2 linked regions of the Oreochromis niloticus genome follow. The protein of the gene in region 2 interacts with the protein of the main gene of each other region in a pairwise test. Links are inferred from orthologs where the notes say so. Each region holds a gene or a part of one and is shown on either strand. Other genes may lie near its edges. The genes, in order: ccnb1ip1 and prkaa2.

The links.
Region 1: the proteins of prkaa2 (region 2) and ccnb1ip1 interact in binary tests that used the Homo sapiens proteins (3 or more experiments, as listed by UniProt). The two-hybrid records come from large-scale screens. The link is inferred for Oreochromis niloticus from reciprocal best matches to the Homo sapiens genes PRKAA2 and CCNB1IP1.

Annotation. Positions count from the first base shown.
Region 1 is NC_031967.2:19,750,525-19,760,970, reverse strand, and holds the start of ccnb1ip1 (E3 ubiquitin-protein ligase CCNB1IP1), read left to right. Parts: upstream 1-6,073; 5' UTR 6,074-6,221; exon of another isoform or gene 6,222-6,278; intron 6,279-7,083; 5' UTR 7,084-7,085; coding exon 7,086-7,382; intron 7,383-7,807; coding exon 7,808-7,954; intron 7,955-8,136; coding exon 8,137-8,323; intron 8,324-10,058; coding exon 10,059-10,225; 3' UTR 10,226-10,446. Other genes in the region: si:ch211-212k18.5 (sal-like protein 4), read right to left, coding at 1-1,364. UniProt on the Homo sapiens protein: Ubiquitin E3 ligase that acts as a limiting factor for crossing-over during meiosis: required during zygonema to limit the colocalization of RNF212 with MutS-gamma-associated recombination sites and thereby establish early differentiation of crossover and non-crossover sites.
Region 2 is NC_031986.2:38,374,255-38,384,748, reverse strand, and holds the start of prkaa2 (5'-AMP-activated protein kinase catalytic subunit alpha-2), read right to left. Parts: upstream 4,244-10,494; 5' UTR 4,170-4,243; coding exon 4,070-4,169; intron 2,863-4,069; coding exon 2,721-2,862; intron 855-2,720; coding exon 761-854; intron 1-760. Other genes in the region: plpp3 (phospholipid phosphatase 3), read left to right, coding at 6,145-6,283. UniProt on the Homo sapiens protein: Catalytic subunit of AMP-activated protein kinase (AMPK), an energy sensor protein kinase that plays a key role in regulating cellular energy metabolism.

The sequences.
Region 1 (10,446 bases), on a different chromosome or scaffold from region 2:
GGCAGGTGAGCCAGCTGGGAGTACGGCGAGGCTGAATGGAGGCTCGAGTGAGGAGGAGTGTTTTCGTCAAAGCGCTGCTGCTTTGCTCCTTTAAACTGGCTGCCCACAGAGGAGGAAGATGACGAAGAGGAAGATGGGAGCACACTGCTGGATGCGCTTGCAGCAGCTGCCGCTGAAGCTCTGTTCAGCTGTAGCAGCGAATGGGCTGTGGACAGCAGAGCCATGTCCACAGAGGGGGGCAGAGGTAGGGAGGAAGGCGAGGCCCGAGCCGAGCCACTGGACAGGAATCCTAAAGCCATGCTCTCTGTCATGCCGGGAACGCTTCCTTTCACTCCGTTAAATGTTTCATCATCATCCGCTCGCCGTTTGCGCCTCCTCTGGATGCTACCTGTGGCCGATCCGCCCTGCGTCTGCTCTGATAGCGCTGGGGGCAGCAGGGAGAGCGACAGCTCTGGGTTCTGCTCTCTGTGTCGCAGGAAATGAGCTTTAAGGTTCCCCCTGGTTGTGAAACGGCTCAGGCAGACTGGACACTGGTAGGGCCTTTCCCCTGTATGGGACCTCAGGTGGATCTGCAGGGACGAGTCGCTGCTCAGCACCTTCCCACAAAAGCGGCAGATGTGCTGAGGGCGTCCTGATGAGGAGGCAGAGGTAAGAGAGGAGCTGGACTGGAGGTCCTGGGGATGGCTGGTGGGAGGAAGTGAAGGAGTTGGGAAGCTGACACCATTACTGTGAGCGAATGAAGAGGTGTTAGATGATTTTTCATGGAGGTAGCGCGGTGGCAGGCCCAGCGAAAGGGACAAGGGGTGTAGGGAGGCAACAGAGGAGCTGATAGTGGATGAAATAGATGAGGAAGAAGATGATAATGAGGATGAGGTAGAGGAAGATGCAGCTCTGCTGCTGTTGTTGTGTGAAGCGCCTGACTTGGAGACAGCCGGTTGGGGGAAGAGAGCTGATGGAAGGCCAGTCAAAAGTGACGAGGCTGTGGTGACTGGAGTGGCAGTGGAAGGATGTGTTGGGGATGAAGATGCCGCTCCATTAGGTTTCTGGTTGCTTTCCGTTCCACTGGCTTGTGCATTGTTGTCCTGGCCAAAGACGGCTCCTCCGAGCCTCAGAACATGCCTGCAGATCTCTTCTGTTATCTGCATCTGGTGGATTTGGCGCTGCTGTAAAACCCTCAGCTCCTCTAAGAGCACCGCCAGCGTGGGAGGGACCTGGATCTGTCCCTGCTCCCCTGGTGAGCTGGTAGCCTGCTGTTGACCTGGACTTGAGCTTTCACGGTGAGGTGGCACACACTGGGAAGAGGAGGAGGAAGAGGAGGTGGAGGTAGTGGTGGTGGCTGAACTTCCAGTCTGCGGGGAGGTCATGGTGGAGTGAGAGTTCCCTTGGCTGTGGGAACCAGAGGTCTGACCCAGGGGGGGAGGCGAGTGAGTCTGGGAAGACAGCGACGGGTGAGGGAAGTCCGGGGAGAGGGAGGAGTGGGTGTTGGGAAGAGATGTTGTGAAGGGGGCGATGTGGCTGGGCCAGTGGGAGGAGGCGAGCTCTCGCTGGGTAAGGAGGGCGCGTGGAGCCCTCCAGGGGATGGGCGAGGGGCCAGAGGCGGCTGGCAATCTTGAAGAGATGTGGGGGATGAGGAGGAGGAGGATCCTGATGAGGTCACTTCTGAGCCGAGAGATGTGGATGGTGACTTTAAGCCCAGATGGTCATCTGAGGAAGAAAAAGAAGAATGATGAGGGTTGTTTTTTTTTTTTTTAAACCTGCATGTTTATTTGACAAAGCTCCGATATCAACCGAAATATCCAGCTTTGTGAATTTATCTGAACTCTGTTTGTTCCTTTGCCTCCAGTTATTGTTTATGAATTTAGTTTTAAAAAAATTTGTCTACATACCAAAAGATACAGTTACAACATCAAAAGAAATTCCTGCTGGGAAGTGGCCTTGAACATGCAAATAAACAAGAAACTCAACCGTCCACGAGTCTTTGTGATATCTTGTCTCAATCTGTGCTCTCCGGAGTAAAACTCCTCAAACATCTTGTGCACACACATACAAAAAAAAAAGCTCACAGACCACCTTGCTGCTATAGCAACACATTTTAGAGGACAATGGGCATCACCAAGACAACCCATAGCCCCTCTTAACCCACTCCCTACAGCGGTTACGTCTTTCATCTCCCTATTCACCCTCCCCCGCCTTACGTCACAGTGGAGGTCAAGGGTCAGGCCAAGCTAAGGGTTCTGGGCACTGTCCACACACTCTGATTGGTCAACTAATCTGACCTCTGGCGCTCAGGGGTCAAATTCTTTCAGAAATCTTGAGCACGGAGTGAGAAAGAGTAAAAAAGAAAAAGAAATGAGGGGGAGGGTAACAACAATGGAGAGACAAACTAACTACTCCCTCCTGGAGAGACAGTGATGGAATGAAAGACTGTACCTCAAGCGAAACTCCTTCCCTACAAACCTGCAAGCAGATAAGCCTCAAACTAAAACTTCCACTATTAATTGTCAGAGTTTGCCCCAGGGGAGCTGGTGCATGCATCAGAAGCTATATCCCACTAATGATGTCACAAAAACCTCCATATTCTCTGAAATGTTTTCAACCCCGCCCCCCCGTGTTAGGAGTATACAGTCAATAGGGCTAAAGGGTGAGAAAGAAGGAGCAAAGAAAGGGGAGGGGGGGGTGCTGTATTAAGAAAGGTGGAAAAATGAGGGGGAGAGGGGCACATAAGGAAGAAAAGCGTGGATGAAGAGCAAAAGAAGATCAGAATAGAAAGGGCGGAAGATTAATCTTTACCAAAAAAAACCACTGCCCCCCACCCCCACCCTATTGCACCTTATTGTGAAGAAGTAAGAGAGTTCTCCATACTAATCAAAGCCCTCCAGCAGTCAGTGCTGAGCAGCCTGTTGGTCTCCGAGAGGATGAACAGCACACGAAAACGGCCACAGATGTATGTTAGTTAATCCTACTCACAAGAGCAAGTTTTTTGGCCCCACCAAAGTGCCCAAGGTCTCATTTATAAGTGGGGTCCATTGCACTAAGCTAGTAAGCAGAACTGTGAGGTGGCACTTTTTTTCAGTCAGTTAAATCAGGTGCATTTGTCGGAATGCAAATGCAAACAGGAACTTGCAAAAGTTAGAGAAAAGGAATCAAAGAAAACCCGCTTGTGTCTTAAAATCTAACTTTTGCGTTGGTAAATGTATTTAAAGATTTAAGTTCTTTTAGTGAATTTCACAAGCAGCTTGTAGCCTGTGAGCGATGTTGTTTATATCAATCTTATGCAGCTTTGATCTAACAAAAAGAAAGAAAGAAAGAAAGAAAGAAAGAAAGAAAGAAAGAAAGAAAGAAAGAAAGAAACACAAACGTCCAAAAATAAAAAGCGCACGAACACTCGTAAACATGTTTTCTCACCGTGCGACTGCAGCCTCGGGCCCCCTGGATCCGCGTTAACGAGATGCTGGGGTCTCTTCTGTTTCCGGCGTGACATGATTCACGGCGAGTCAGACGGAGAGGGGGGCATCCGTCGGTTCAATGGCACAAGGCACGTTTTTTTTCTTGCGCACTTGGACGAGCTTCCGAAAGCATCCAAATTTAAGATGTGTTGCAAGTCCTTGGCTTTAAAAAAGAAAGAAGAAGAAGAAGAAGAAAGGGGGAGTTTTGAAAGAGCGGGTCTTTCATGGAACAAAGTTCCAAAAAGAAAAAGTGATGTTTGGAAATCCGCCGGGCTGCACCGTGTCACATGAAGCTTGCCGTGTGTGTGGCTGTTTTCTAAAGTCTCTTCTACCCCCCAAAAAAACTTGTCCAATTTGCGCCCCTCCTCTCCCACTGCTGCCCCACTGCATGCACATACAGGGAGCGCACACACAGTCACACATACACACCATATACACACACGCACACAGAACCACTCCTTGTTCTATGATATTTGCATTTGAATGGCGTGCAACACACAGCCTCCCCGGTTCTCTTTTTCTCTCTATCTCGCCCCCCCTCAGCTTTATTTTTCTTAACACTCTCACGCTGCAGCCATAAACTTTCAATAAAAAACCGACAATGGCGTCAAAGCCCGTTGGATGTCTAAAAAACAAATTAAAACGGGCGTAAGATGTGGCCTTTTTGTTCGAGATAAATGTTTTAATCATTGCAGCAAGAGAGAGAGAGTGCGAGAGAGAGAGAGAGAGAGAGAGAGAGACGATGATGGCTCTGATTAAGATGCAGTAACACGCGTAAAACTAATTCAACAGGTAACTTAGGAATCAGGTGCCATGCCTCGGTCCTCCCGTGCGCTCTGCACCTATACTTTGATCCTCGTCAGAATAATAAAGTCAAGCTGGCAGGTGGTTTCCGTCAGCGTGAGTCAAAAATCTGCCTTCCCAGCATTGAGCTGAGAAGTGTAGATAGGCGAGATGTAGCCTTTGATTTCCTCGGGGCCAATTATCAACAACAGTGCAGCGAGCGGCTAATGTTTGCAAGTGGGGCCACACATCCATTCCACATGCATGCATGTAATTCGTGTGTGTTATCACCGAGCGCATAATACCCACCCCCAGCACCATCACCACCACCCAAAAAAAGCATCTTACACTGGAGCTCTATTTAAAAGGCAGAGAATAGATGGGAATCTTTGACAATGGCGTGCTGGACACAGTTGAGTGAGCATCTCCCCTCTCTCACTATGAACCCCCGGACCCGCTGCTGCACAACACAATGCCCCTCTTTCACCCCCTGCCTTTACTCCTGTACCACGTGGAGAAATGGATAAAAGCAGGAGAGGGGGAGAAAAAAAAGTGGTGGCGGAGGAGGAAGGGGGCCATATTTAAGTAGGTGTCTCACATAAAGCATATAGACTGTCCGCTCAGAGGCTGTGTAGGGAAAATGGGCAGTATTTGATTTTGAGGAAATGCCTGCCATTCAGAGTTTAACAGTTTAAGCTCACATTGATGAACTTTAGTCAAGCTTTTTCACGTCACTTTGAAATCCGGCACTATTTCGAAAAGAAAGAAAAAGAAAGAAAGAAAGAAAAAAAGTTAGGACACTGTAAAATGTAAAACCATTATTATCATTATCATTATTATTATTGTTATTATTATTATCATTATTATTATTATTGTTGTTGTTGTTGTTATTATTATGCTGAAACAAGCATGGTCCTTCCTGAAATCCAGGATACCAACAGATGGCACATAATATATCATCTCTGGCATTAATGGTTCCCTCACTGATATCCAGATCACATTATCATTATCATTGTTGTTGTTTTTTTATTTATGTCCCTTTTATAAGGAAGCCTTGAAGCAGAAATACTTGTGCCAGTAAAAGCAGCTACAAAAAAAAAAACAAAAAAAAAAACATGAATTCAAAAAGGCACTATATATGTTTTTGCCAATATATGCGCTATGTGGCTTCATAGTGTTAGACAGTGAAGTATAGTAACTGAAATGTTATATTTATTTCCATTACTGCTTTATTACATAGAGACACCTGCAAGATGGTATAATACATATTGTTTTATGTGTGTGGAATCTTATGCCTGACAGGTGTGCTCACCTGCCTCAGAAAGAAGCGTTTTTGTACAGTTTTACAGAGAATGGCAGGAATGAGGTAGGAAGTGTTCTTTACGGCAGGCGGATTGAGCAAGTCTGAGAGAGAATGAGTTCTGCTGGCTCAGTACTGTGGAGTGGAGTAGGCGAGATGGGTTTGCCACTATGGAGAGCAGTTTGTTCAGTGACCACTTGTTGCCAACGATGGTTCCTGCCTTCTGAATCAGTTTGTATATCCTGCTGCCATCTCTGGGATTGATGCTGCCTTCCAAGCACACAACAGCAAAGTAGATGGCACTTCCAACATTCTTGCTGCACACAATCTGAAAAAGTAGAGTGGGGTCATCCTCTTCTTCTACAAATTCAGAATTGAACTTACTGTAGCTTAGTGTGGTAGCTACCAATGGTAATGTAGGCCTAATTTTTATTTATTTGTTTGTTTATTTTTCCACACCACAGTTTGTAGGGCTTCACTGGATTTATATTATAAAAATAATAATAATAAAATATAACACGAATCCTGCTTGAGATTTACATTAAAAGTTTGGCCCTAACTTTGTGAGTTATTCTAAAGTTCTTAAGTTGTAGTGTAAAGATTTTGCCATCGTGATTGGTAGAGCTTGAACTGTATCAGCCAATCAGATTTCAACAGTGATGTCACTTGCCGGGGTCATCTTCAGAGTAACGGTAGGCTTTGATCTTTGAAACTAGCCATTTTTACCAGTGTTTTAGGGTTGTGTTAAGGTACGTGTGTATAATGTGAAAAGTATAGATTTTTTATTAATCTGCTAAAGGAAAAAGGGTTGACATGACACTTTAACGAGCTTGTTATTAGCAAGTGCAGAGAGCTTCAGGCTTTTACTAGCTAACCTTCTAGTGCTAGCATCTAATGTCGATAATGCTGCTCGGTTTTGGGTAGCAGAGCTTTTACGTTTTATACAACAAAACTGTATTTTAACAGCTTTCGTTTTTCATAAATATATATTATAAGCCACTAGAAATTAGATAGCAAATGGTTTCACAAATAATAACCTTTGCTTTATTCCACTGAACTGATGTAAAAAGTACATTTATCCAGCGTGGGATCTATAGAGTTATCTTAGCCCCCATACAGTTACTGTAGCTTAGCTTAGCTGAACCGTTTTTTGCGTACCAAAAGCAAAAAACTTGATAAAAACAATTTGTGGGAATATGTGAACATAACACTTTAAACATGTAATAAATGAGCTGCTATAAAGTACCAAAATGTTGTAGGTTAAGGCCAGCTGCAGCTGTATTACTAAAAACCATTGTCCACCTTGTTTTTAATACAAAGGTTTAGGATTTAGGTAATATGTAGACCTCTAAAATAATGTCTGATTGTGATTAAAGTAGTTCAAACAAAGACCAAATTACTCCTGCATTGCATTGGGCCTGGTGTTACAAAATACATTTTTAAATATAAAACAATATAAAAATAAATACGGAAATTTGATTGTTAATCTTTGCACATCTTGTTTTTGCTTTGTAGTTTTTTTCTCTGAATGACTGTTCACTGTCCTTTACAAAGGCATGTCTATCTGCGATGACACCCTCCTGTGTAATTTCCCAAAGTGTCGCGCTAAGCTGAGCGCCTTCGCTTGGGTCACAGCGTGCTCACATGTTTTCTGCGATCAGCACGGATCTGAGAAGTTCAGCCGTTCTCCCGTCATCTGCCCTGCGTGCTCGTCTGCACTGTCTGGAAAGCTGGACGTTGTGAGGATGGAGCTGTCACCCTCTGAGGAGTATAAAGCCATGGTGCTGACAGGTCTGCGACCAGACATAGTGCTGGACATCAGTTCCCGTGCTCTGGCCTTCTGGAGCTATCAGGTCAAGTATCTCCATGTGAACAATCAATACAAAATCAGACAAATGTGAGAGAAGCTCCCACATCATCCCAGAAAAATAACATTTTTTATTCGTAAACTAGCATTAGCATATGTAATGATGTCCTACCCATCTGATCAAAACAAGTTACAGAATGTAAGTGGTCTCTTTTTATCTATGTTTGAAACCAGGATAATTTTCTATCTGTGGTTCGTCCCCTTTTTCTAATATAATTATTTAACTCTTGATACATGTTAAATTTGAGATTCTGTTTATTTAAAGAATTAAAATGATGAAAAAGGTGAGTTGGTAAACAATCAGCTGATTCTGAGGTGCTCAGCTGGCCGTTTCCTTCCTCGTATATAAACCCTGATGGTCCATTTATGTCAGTCAGATCTTGTGTAGCGTGTAAGTCTTGGTGTGTGCAGGTGCATCAAGAGCGTATCTATCAAGAGTACAGTCTGTCACGGGCCGAATCACAGCTGAAGCAGATGGAGAAGTTCCTGACTCAGCAGAACCAGAGCAGAGAAATGGAGCTTACTGCCTTGAAAGGAGAAATCGCCTCCCTGAAGAAAGTAAATGACACAACTCTCACCACCACACAAGACATTAATGCACTAAACTTGTAACCTGGTGTAAAATAGCTTCAAAGGCTAAGATGTAAAATAACAGGGAGCACGGCCAGTGGTCGTCTTAACTGTGAATCTTGAAGACATACATAGAGTAAAACAAGATTTCTCTGTATCCTGATGGCCAGATGATGGACGAGTACAAGAGGAATTACAGCGAGATGTCTGAGAAGCTGATGCAGAGAAACCGGCAGTACCAGAAACTACAGGGGCTGTACGACTCTCTGAGGATGCGTAGCATGGTGGTGGGTGCTGGAGGAAGACATACAGAGCAACAAATGGGACATCAAGACTACAACGCTGATAATAATGCCGGTAATATCAGCACATTGTAGTTCATTTGTCGTTTTTAAAGGTGCATGGTTGGACAGAGATGAAGGCTTGGCAACTAGTTTAGACAATGGACAAACACATGACTAGTTATTTTCACTTTTAAAGGTCAAACCATAATATTGTTTCCAAATATGAACAGCAGCATTGATGCTTAATCACAAATGACAGAATTTTAGCCCCCCTATCAGTATTTACCAAGTGCAGGGAATTTTTAACACAGCTTTTCCAACCATGCTAGTTTTATTAAGTCTCACACACATGTCCTGAGCTGTCCCAGCCCATTCTTCTTTGGCACATCTCAAAAACCTCTCCAGATTTGCTGGTCTTCTGGCATGAACCTTGGTCTTATGCTTTGTGCAGGCAAGTCAGTGACGTTCACTTTGGTTATCTGGGGGTCGTCCTTGACCAGGAGCAAACTATGTTTTAGGTCGTTGTCGTGTTGTAAGACAAATTGACGATACAGATCCAGTTTTGCTGCTGATTGCTTGAGGTTTTCTTTCAAAGTCTTCATGTGTCCTTTCTTCATGATTCCTACCACATTGATGAGATTCCCAGTTCCGGATGTACTAAAGCATCCATAAAGCATAATACTTCCTCCACCATGTTTCACTGTGTAGACCATGTTCTTTGGCTTAAACGCCTCTTCCTGCTTTCTCCAAACATAAGCAGCATCTCTGTGGCCAAAGGATGCGCCTCCAGTAGCAATAATTTTTCTCCAGGTTGTCCTTACTTACTTCATTTTGGCTTGAAGGTGTCTCTTCTGCAGAAATTCAGTTTTTCTCGGTCTGCAACCTTGCAGTCCATTCCTGTGCAGGCACTAAACTAAATTTCCAGACTTAGCAAAGTCATTCCCTTGTGTCTTTAGAGTTGTTCTGAGGTCTTTAGTCACATCTCGTACCAGTTTTCTTTTCAGAGACTTATATTAAACATTTTGCTTCCTATCTCTGCCAGGCTTGCTTTGTGTGGCTCTCTTTGAATTTCTTGATGTGTTTCTCACTCTGCTTCGGAAACACTGCAATAGCTTTGTTAAATTGTGTTAAACTGTGTGTAAATTGGAAGATAACCCTCAGTTTTAACTTGATTTTACAAACTTTGAACATAACAAGTTAAAACACATAATTGCACAGTAGTGGTCCGTGCAATGGCTCAATAAAAAGGTCAGTTTTTCACGGGGCTAATAATATATGATACAATAAACAACTTCTGTTAATAATAATGATATAATAATATATAATATATGCTTTCTAAAAGTGTTACCTAACAGCATTTACTAATAATGCCTAAATTTTAAAGGCATTATTAGTAAATCTTGTTAGGTAAGTAGTAGTAAGTAGTAAGTTTTTGTTATTGACTGAGTACACAAACAATGTGAAGATGTCATTATGGCCTCTATTACCTGCACTTAAAGTTTGGCAGACAAACTACTAAAATCCATAGTAATATATCGCTTATGTTCAGAAAAGAGAGATAAATAAAGACTTTGTGCTTTCATAAAATCAGCTTTCACATTGTGCTCACGTTGATGAATGAGAACAGGAAGGAATCGGGGTAAAAAAATAATGCTTAATGGCAACGAAGGAAGACAGGGCTTTTATCAAAAAGACTTTGTCATCAGGAAAGAACAGCAGGAGTAATGAGCTGAATGTCTGTGTAAGGGAATTTTTTAGTGAGAATAACAATGAAAGACATCCATCAACCTCCTGTGTGTGTCACTCAGGGGTGGCTCAGCATGCGACTCCTCAGAGGAGCCCTCCGTTCCTGTCCCTGGGCCCTGAAGGGGACGGTCGATTCTTGTCCACCGTGGAGGCTGATGGAGGAAAGACCTTCTTCCAGTTCAGCTCCCCTGGCAGGGATAAATGCCGGCCCTTCATCAGGAAGCACTGAGAGCAGCAGTCTGCAGTTATCCATGTTACTCTCCTCTGTTCTGCTGTACTCACTTTAGCAGGAGACGTTTGCCCTTTTTTTGTGCACTGTTTATTTCCTGTTCAAACCATACATATGTATTTAACAGTATTAACAAATATGGGATTTAATTTTATATTTTGTTACATGTTATTCCTAAGTAAATAATAAAAATCCCAAGCATATTTTCACAGAGTTATGTC
Region 2 (10,494 bases):
ACAGAAAATCTAAGAAATGTTTTTTATGCTCACAGGTAGAGCTTTGTGCTCTAGAGATATTTGCTTTCATTGACACCACACAGAGCTAAGGGCAGAAAAAACTGCCTGAAATTAAATGTTTAGACAAATCTAAAGCATGAAACTTTGGCTCATAGGAATTACTTTCACATAAACTGACTTCATCTAAGTTTTTGAAAGTTTGCCCATGTTTAACACGAGCATCCACTATTATAATGTAATATGATGTAATGTATACATGACAAAACAAGGAGAGACGTTGTAAGTCGCACTTGAAAACAGAAGCACATGTTTAGGAACATAGTTTAAATGTGCATTTTAAGTTAATTAAAATATAGATACCTACTCAAAATGACAGTAGTAAGAAGCTTATATTTAAAGCTAAAGCAAGACCATATAGTTTATAATATATATAATGTGAAGGATGTGGATTTAAATAATGTGAAAAACTACAGTCAACACAAAGTTAAGTATAAATACACTCAGCTATTTTTAAGAGCAAGTCTACCTGGATTACTGCACAAGCCCAGGAAACAAACCATCATCAGATTTTTGCTTGATATGTTTATCAAATATATGCAACAATTGCTTTTAAACTGTCAGAACTGTTTAACCAGTCAGGCTTCTGTTTAGTCAGCTAACCATGCCACTGGATAATAAAAGAATTTCGGATGATTCATTGACCACTGTACTCAGCCAGGCTGAAATCTACCAGCAAGATAATAGAAGAATGTCATCTTACCCGTCCATTCTTGCAGATGTAATCAAACAGCTCGCCTCCCGACACATACTCCATGACCATGAAAAAATCTGTCGGTGTGCTTATGACCTGGTACCTGACAACAACAACAAAAAACCCCAAACTGTTGTATTTCAATGAACTTTTAATACATTCATTAGTTGATTTCACCTTCTATCTTCTATTTTCACCTTTTATTCTCAAAAATTAAAAGTGTGATCACTTAGACATGTCCCTTTTTTAGGTAGATTAATTTTTAATGGAAATAACATTAAAATAATTAAAACTCTTTTTCCTGACAAAGTCAGTAATGAAATCATTAATTAAAAATTACATGTTTTTAATTGAATCGCTAGAGAGGCGTATAGCCACCTCTGTCCAGTTTTTTGAGTATATCAGGAAAAGATTATGATGGGCAAAAGACATTAGCAGAAGGATATATGGCTTTTTCTTTGCAACTCTGCCTACAAGGGAGGCCCCGGGAGCTGCTTCTTCACTGCTGATCCCAGAAATAGTATTTTGTGGTTACCAATTAGCGAAGCTGCCAGTTTAGGACCCATGAGGTGTCTGTTTCTGAAAATAGAGTGTCTGATGCATTTGTTTCCTTGCTCTGTGTTGCAGGCCTCTCATTCCTCTTTCTATTCAGGTTCAGGTTTTTGTGGTTTTATGTAGGGGGTAGGACACACCTTTCTATGGCATCTTCAGTTTTCACAATTTCCCACAAGGAATAGCTTTCATTTCCCTATTAAGATGGCTTTCAAAATAAAAGTCACTTTTAATTCTCGAGCAGGCAAGAGTTGATGTTCCAGTAACTCAGCTAACCAAATGAATTGTTTCTTTAATCAACACAGCAGTTATCAGATGTGCTATCATATTTGGAGAGGTTTCTTCTCATGATCATTTCTGTAACTTGTGCAACAGGACACAGGAGTGATTGTTGCTATTAAAAATCATCAGTCAGTCATATTTGTCATTCATGACATTTCTGATTAATTTACTGGAAATAAGAACAAATGTGCTTTTCTTTCAAAACAAGGACACAGATGAGTGAACCCGAATGTCTAAACCTATATCGTCTACATAAACAATACACAGCATTAGCACACAGAAACAAAGGCACGGCAAGGCTGTGATATTGGGTTGCTTTCATAAAGGTCAGGTATGTTAAATTGCAGGCACAATTTCATGAATGGTTGCCGGTGGTAGAATATAAACTTTATCACAATCTATTTCAATCCTGTCAAGCTGGGTGAAGCCTAACACCACAGGGACTATGGGAGGAGAAACATTAAGACAAATAACTTCTTTTCTTCTAACAGTTGAGAGTGTGGCAGCTTTTATAGTCATGGTCGGTATGTTAAACTGCTTCCATGTCTGTACAAGAAGTGTACACAGTGTGCATGTGTTTATTATTGTATATGTCTCTGACACTGACTTCCACAGCACTCCAGCTTATGACCTGACAACTCGCATATCTGCCATTGCTTAGAGTTTTACAGTGGACTAACCCTAACCCTAGACTAAAAATATCACAAACAATGTTGAGAGGGACGGACAGACATGGACTAACAAGGTGAAAGAGGCCAGGGAGATAGAAGGAAAGAGAAAGAAGGACAACAAAGACACGGAAAGACCCATGAGGAGAGAGGGATTTAGACAATATCCACCATCTTAACTGGAGATTTGTCCTAGCCAGAGCACATTTCTTTATCTAGCTCAAAGCTTGTGTGCGTGCATTGGTATGTTTGTGTGTTTTACCTCCTGTGAGCCTTGTGGGCATGCTCAGTAGAGTACAGCTCTAGAAAACACGTGAACAAGCAAAGCATGCCACAACACACAGCAAAGAACCCACGTTACAACAAGCAATAATAAAAGAGAGCCCAGTTATCTCTCTGCAAAGCCTGTCAGTCTTCACTGAGAGTCTTCAATCTGACAGACGGATGTGTCGTCTTTCTCCACTTACAGCTTGATGATGTGTGGGTGTCTGAACAGCTTAAGATTCTGGATCTCTCGTTTGATCTTCCCCACAACATCGAGACTACGGATCTTCTGTCTGTTCAGGATCTTCACAGCCACTTTATGGCCTGTCAACTGATGCTCACCAACTAAAAACAACAGAATGCAGACATGAAAGAGACAGACCACAGAGGCTAAAAAAATTAATAAAAAATAAATAAATCACATAACCTACTACATAAGCAGCTTGGTGTGGATTAAAAGGGTTACACTTTGATTTGGAGTCCTGTTGCGTAGGAAGCTCGCACGAAGTAGTGAATGAACTGTGTTTGTTATATTGAGCTTTTGCTCTCTTTTGTAACCCCTATTTTCTTTCCATGCGTTTGTTTATAGTGTTGGAGCTATCTGCCTGCTGGAGGCTCTGAAACCAAGCTGTTATTGCAGCTGCCAAACACTGCACACGAAACTCAGAATCAGATACGAACTGGGGCATGAACTGCTCCACAACTAACACACAAGCAGTAACCTGAAACGAGCAAGCATTACATATACACATACAGTCATTTTGTATTCATTCACACATGACTTGACACAGATTTTCACACTCCTAGTGGTTTGGGAGTGTGAGCAAAATCATTTTCCTTAATAATGATGTTCAGAAATAGCCATGGTTTCAAATGCTTTAGCAGCACACACAAGAAACAGGCGGGGTGAGCATGGAGTTAAAGCTCACAAGGTCATGCTGAGTGTCAGAGAACTAGCGAAGGCAACCCTAATAATAATCTGTTATATGCATCCTTTTGAAGCTTTAAGATTGTCTAGGGTTTGCCCGACTTGACAAGCACTTAACAAGCTACCACCGGCTAGCAGAGAATAACACATCGGACTAGCTTGCAAACATTAATGTCAGTTCAACGTTAGGTTCCCACGGTGGGTCAAACGGTGAGCTTCAGACGTCCTTTGTCGCCAGACAGGGCAAAGGACAGCCACCACCGCACAGTCCTTATTACTTAACGTTATACCATAATAATGCGAGTGTGACTGTGCATCTCCGTGCATCCAGGTTTTATCACCTCCCATAGCTGATAACAGCAGCTACTGAAGGGGGCTTCGGTGAAAGAATTTGACTTTGAAGCGGTCGGATTCTCAGACTACAGTACGTTTAAAATCCAGTCTGTTGCCGTGGTTAAACCGCTCAGCTACGCCAACTGCTTCACTGACCACCAGCAAGTTGAACGCGGAGCGTTAAAGAGATGGGAGGGGAGGGGGGCACAGCGACTACTTGACATTAACTACTCCAACTGAAGACACAAACGTACACATGAAGCCTGGCATGACACAGAAACAGGACTTAACTCTTCACTTTGCCGAATGTCCCCACTCCGAGCGTGTCGCCGAGGATGTAATGGCCGATCTTTACCCTGCCTTCGTGTTTCTGTTGTTGCCTCTCTGCCATCTTCTCCGTTACCGACGGCTTGGATCGCTCGGGGAGGTGGGAGCACTGCCTGCCTGGCCTGTGCAGCGCACGGGGGCGGGGAGGAGGGGGCGGGGCACTTCACAGTGAAGAATCACCAACGGCGGAAAACGCGCGCACGCACGCGAATTATCCCTCCAAGAACCAGGCGCGCTCTCCCACCTACCTTGCACGGAGCGACCGACGGGGTGTTATGTTGAGTTTAGTAGCCCAGTCAAATACCAACCCTCACGGTCTAAACACAGTAACACCTGTCTGCTACATGGGTGTGTAAGGTATGTAACGTTTGCGTATAGACCGTTATTAAACCAGTCCTGCAATAAATATAGACTATCAATATTTATAAAATCGTATATATATTTAATTTCTTAAATTTCGTGAGTGATTATTAGTATGGGTATCTGTTGTTTTAAGTAAATTGATTTTTTTTTCTTCATTATTCATAAATGCACTCTGGTGCAGTAACACAAGCGTCATTATTTCTGTTGTCAAGAATCTTACAGACTGCAATAAAAGACCAGTACTTGCATATTATGCACAAAACTGACCCTGGAAGATCCCGTACATTATTGCCTTAATTCAAGTAAGGGACTGAAAAGTAACGCTACCCAGTCTTTACATTTACATATCTAACGCTGGTGTGTGCATATCGTCGTTTCACAAATTACGTATTAGATTTTAATAACCTGGTTAAAGAAAATAGGTAGCCATGACAATTTTAGAAAACTTAAAAAAGAAAGAAAGAAAGAAAAAAGGACAAAGTTGAGCTGTTCGGATTTCACCACTAGATGGCAGTATACGCATGATTCATCAATACCTGGTATGAGTTTCGGATTTCGTTCTGCTGCTATGTTCTGCGTATGTTCAATACGCAACAAGCAAGCAATGTTTGTTTATATAGCCATTTCCCCGGACAAAAACCACATCGAAAGGAATCTAGGACAAAACAACAATGTGAAAAAAGAGGAAACGGGAATACGATGAAAATACACAAAATAACACAAGGCTCGAGCTTCTCAAATTGGACAACAAATAGTGTTCGCTCACCAACATATTATATTACATTATGTTATATTATAAGTTTTTTTTTAAATTAAACATATAAAAAATCGTCTGGAAACAAAAATTTCCTGAAGTTAAAAAAGATTAAAATCACGAATTACACACTTCCCGACTTTGTCTCTGTACTGGACAAATATATATAAAGTTTCGACACATTTTGCACATGAAAAACAAATATCAATCTTTTAATTAACAATTGAACTTTAATTGTTACAATATTATATATTTTTTTATCTTTTAAAATAAATTCTTTGTCGAAAATTACAACAACAAAAAAAACTCTAGCACTATATACTGGAACATATTCTCTTTATTTTGTCTGTCCAAGAACAAAGATTTTTAATAGTCTCAACTCAAAAGCGCTTCGGTTGTTTCGCGCCTGTTACCGTGAGTAACCGCTAGGAGTAGTTTTTCCGTCTGTCCACTGCTGGGCTCCACTCTTCCAAGTTTTTCAAGCAGGGATGGAGACGAGAGGAGGAGGGCTGCTGTAGGAACTAAGAGAGCGGGGGGAGGAGGAGGAGAAGAAGGATTGATATAACAAGAGCGGCTGTCGATGCGCAACGCAAGTCTCACTCCAAGTCTTTGAAACAAGACAGATAAAGAGGAGCGGGCTTTCCATTCAGTACCAGTGCAGGCAAATTTTTTTTAAACTAAGTTCGTGCCGCGGGTCCGTTCTCCATTTAGCCGACTACTCATCTGACTTTTAATTATTTTGTAAAAGTGAAATACGAGAGAGCGAGTCATAAACAGATCAGACACTCCGAGAGAGCTGCGAGTTGGGAAGTTTGTTTCCCGTTGCTTTGCATGACATTTCTTCCAAGGACTTGAGAGCCTGACAGAGTTTCTTCACAGACCGTGCAGTGTGGGATTTTGAACTGAAACGGGGACTCATCAAATGCAAAATTACATGTATGAGAAAGCAATGGCTCAAGAGACAAGGAACGGAGGAACCTCTACGTTAAATAACAACAATGGTGTTGACAACAGTAAGAAGAAGGTGCTAATAGTGCTCGATGTCTTCTGCCTTCTACTTGGTAAGTTCACAGATACGTTTACACGATGCTTTCCTCTCTGTTACCATTTAAACTGCGTATCTCACATCAGCTGTTGTAGAGTACATGCACAAAAAACTGAAGACAGAAACTTCTGCACATTGCACTCACAATAAAAGCCCTCTTTAGAATAGATAAACAGTGCCCGCCTTTTCTCAAGTTTGCCAATAAGAGTATTATCATTTTAAAAGTTGCCCGTTATCTGTAACTGCAAAACAACTTAAGCTGCAACATCCCCTTATCATCCAGTTCCAACGCAACACCCCCGGGCAGTGGAAGTGGCGAACAAAAAAATAAAATAAAAAAATCAAACAACATTTCAGGAGTTCGCACTTTTAATTTTCTTTAATTCAACCCAGAATCACAATCAGTTTGTAAACTGAGAAAAAGAGAAAACTGTTGTTGTTATCAAGACAGCTGACTGACTTCTCATCGGAGAGAACTGTCACCAGATAATATACTGATCATTTCAAAGTCCATGGAGTGTCACTGTAACTGATCAGTTGGTCCTAGTGCTCCTTGTCAACATGCCCGGGGCATAAATATTTTCAAGTGTTCGAACCTGCCCTTAAAAATAACCAGACAACACCCACCACTTCCCCCAGTCTGTTCTCTGATAACCATGATCATCTGACCCCAAATCAGATGAACATGTTATTCAGTGGGTTATTCAGTGGGCATCCCATGCAGATTCAGTGTGCTGCCTTTGTGTATGTGTGTCTGTGTGTGTGTGTTGCTTTGCTGGTTTGTTTTTGGCTGTTGTCACTGTAGCCCAGTCCTTTTAGTGTTGAGTGCCAGTGCCCCCCCCCCTCCTTCTTTTCACACTATTTTCATTCCCCCCATCTCCCCTTTCTCTTTTTTGGAAAAGGATTATGGGAGTTCTGCTTAACTTCTACACATTCACTCCCAGAATCTTGCCAATCCCTGGCCAGCTGCCCCTGATCTCTTCACTTCAAATTACTTTCTTTCTTTCTTTCTGGCTCTCTTTCTCCCTCTCTGTCCAGGGGAATGCGTGGAATAATTGCTTAAGCATGTGTTGTGGTAGGGGAATGCCTCTCCAATTTGAGTGAGGGATCGAAAAGTGGGACCAGTGGCTGACCGGGCTTTAGAGGAGCAGGTGGGAGACACACCAATAGTGCAATATAAAGGAACTAGTAAAGTACCAATGAAGTATGCAACACTACCACACAGGAACTGGATTGTATCATCCAGTATGTTACAAATGGTGCACATTAACTCCACATAAGTGCTGTGAGGTAGAAGCAAAGCTCGCTGACAAAGTTTTCCATTGGGTTTATACTAGTTTTCTTATTAAAGAACCCCAGACAGAGATACACTGTTTCATCTGCGTTCATATAACTGTAGATGAGCTTTGATCACATGTGGACTGAATTTCCTGCACAAACCAACTTCCTTTATTGGTTAAAGCTCTACAGACAGTTCTCCATTGCCTTGTTAGGACACCCACACACACTCACAGACACGCATGTATGCCTGTAAACTCACACAATGTATGTAAGAACACAGTAACAAATGGTTACAAAGATTCTCCTTTGTTATGCTAAACACAATCTGGCTGCTCAGTGATGATTGGTTGGCCCACTTCAGTGGTTTGGGGGGAGTTGCGGGTTGGTGCGAGGGGTGACTGGGGAGGGGGTTAAAAGAGAGGGAGAAGAGATCAGTAGAAAGGGAGGGTTATCAGGGCATCCTGAATGAGGAAGGAGGAATGCGGGTGTGTTGTCGAAGAGCTCAGCGGAATGCTTAATGGTTGGTGGCTTTTGTTCTGAGCGTGTTTATGGCTAAAAAGTAGTGTACACTACTAAAACTAGGAAATAGATAAATATCTCATTACCTTTAATTAGTTCCTATTCTGCCAGCTGGGCTCTACACGCAGAGTCTCTGCAGTTACATCTTCCTAACGGATGTTAATGTGCCCAACTGACACACCCTTAGGCGCAGATAATGAGTGTCTGCATAAAAGACATCTGAGGCCATCTATAGCTGCACACAAGGACAAAAGAAAACATGTTTACATGTTTAATGAAGAACCCATCCCAGTTGGTTTTGCTAAACAAAAATGATAATGCACAAGCACAGCAAGATTAGAAAGGCATTGAAAAAGCATACTCACATTCTCTCCAGCACTCAACTACCAAGACCGGGGTTACGGCATACAGTTTTGGCAGCTGAGCGCGACCATCATCTGCTGATTTCACTCTGGATCAGGTTCCACTCCTACAGAGCAGTCGAGTTGATTTAGCAACGCTATAAGGAGCGTGCACACAAACAGTATACACTCACTATAAATACACAAACTCGACCGCAGAATTTCGTATTCCCTTTTGGCGACTCACTGCCCAATAGTCTTCTCTTGGCTGTTTGAAAAAAAAAAAATGTTTATTGTGAGAACACTGCAACGAGACACAGACTAGAGCCCTCTGGAACCCAAGCATCCAAAAGTAGTCTCACTTAAACCATGATTAAGTTTTACACAATGCAAAGGGGATTATACATTATGTGTTTGCTTCTGCAGAACTGGTTTGGGATGGAGTGGTCTTTTTGTAAAACATAAACATGGATTGTCCGGGACTGGCTTCATTGACTCTATATATGCTTCTTTTAAAGGATCATGATCTATCTCCTTATTATGATCTAGGAGGCAAAAAAATATATAATGTTTTAAAACATTTAATTATGTGTTTATTGCAAAATTTGGAGCTCTGATACAGTCAGGTGTTCAGTGGTCTGCTTTTCCACAAATCACAGACAGGTAGCCAAGAAGAGCGTAACCTTTTGGCCTCGAGGAATCAGCTTCATAACTGGCCCCGGAGCGTTAATCCTTCTGTATTCGACTCCTGCGTTCCCATCAGCTGCTATAACATTACAGCAGTCAGTCACACAGCCTCTCATTAAAGTCAGAGAGGTTTAACCTCCACCTCTCCAGGCCTCAGCCACTTCAATCCTGAGCCGCTCTACAAATATTTTCGAGAATTTCACAAATTCTTCATCTGGCTGTACCTCTGTGCCCAAAGACTCTGGATGGGACATCTGGTGCAATTTTGGGAGTAAGTGAACCAGGGGGCATATAGAGTGTGTGTGTATATTGGAGCTCAGGAAAGGGTGGGAAACGGAAAGGTAGTGTCGGTCGGAGGTGGGTGTGGTTGTGAAATGAAATCCTGACTCTTTTTTTTTTCTCCTAGTCCATTTCCACATCTATCTCCATTCCTTCCCCCTGTTCCTTCTCTACCGGAGCCAGTCTTCTGTCTTCATAATTGTCCCAGAATAATAAGGGAAAAATCTATAATGAACAAAATAATATTAGAAGAATATAGATATGCATAGATTATACAGTCTGTGTCTGTTAGAAAACTATATTGAAGCAGCATGTGAATCCATCAAAGAGAAACTGAAACACAGGCTCCAATCCAAAGATGCTGACCTTAATCCAAGGGTAAATATTCTCAGGGATTCTGCACAAGTCTTTCAGAGGTGAGAGCCATGAACATGTTCTTTGAAATATATTTGGCTGGGATTTATTGGGATCTGTTTAAACATTAGGTGAAAGGTCAGAAAGAAAATAGACTCACATATGATCAATGTCTGCAATGCTCTCTGTGTGACATTAGTTACACTCATGTGTCAACCACAGCAGACGCTTAATAGACATGCACAGAAGAATATGTCTCAGGATTCAGTTTTGACAGTGATCAGATTGAGTGTTTATTGTGAGAACACTTTGCACATCACAACACAACATAGCTTGATTACTCGACTATACTTTTGCCGTTATGATATCTAAATGTTATCTGTGGCCAGCCTGTGATGAGTGTTTATGTTGGCGGCTTCGGGACAAGGTGAGGTTATGGCTCTTAAGAAGGTGATGAGTGTCCTCTGGCAGAGGATAAAGATCAGCAGATGTCCCTGATAACAGAAGCCATAGGGATACTATCTCTCCTAGATAAGATGCTAATATAATTGCACATTTTTGAGAAGATCTATGTTTTTTTTCGTGCGTGTTGAGATGAAGAGCACCGGTTGCATCAATGCCAGACAGGTCTGCAGCATTTCCCGACTGTCATTGTGACATGCGGCTGGTTTCTGCTGGTGCAAGAGTTAACCACCAAACCCCTGGGGTATGTGCCTTAGCAGGGCTGTGATTAGAGGTGCGTGGGTGTGAGCGTGTGCATGTGTGT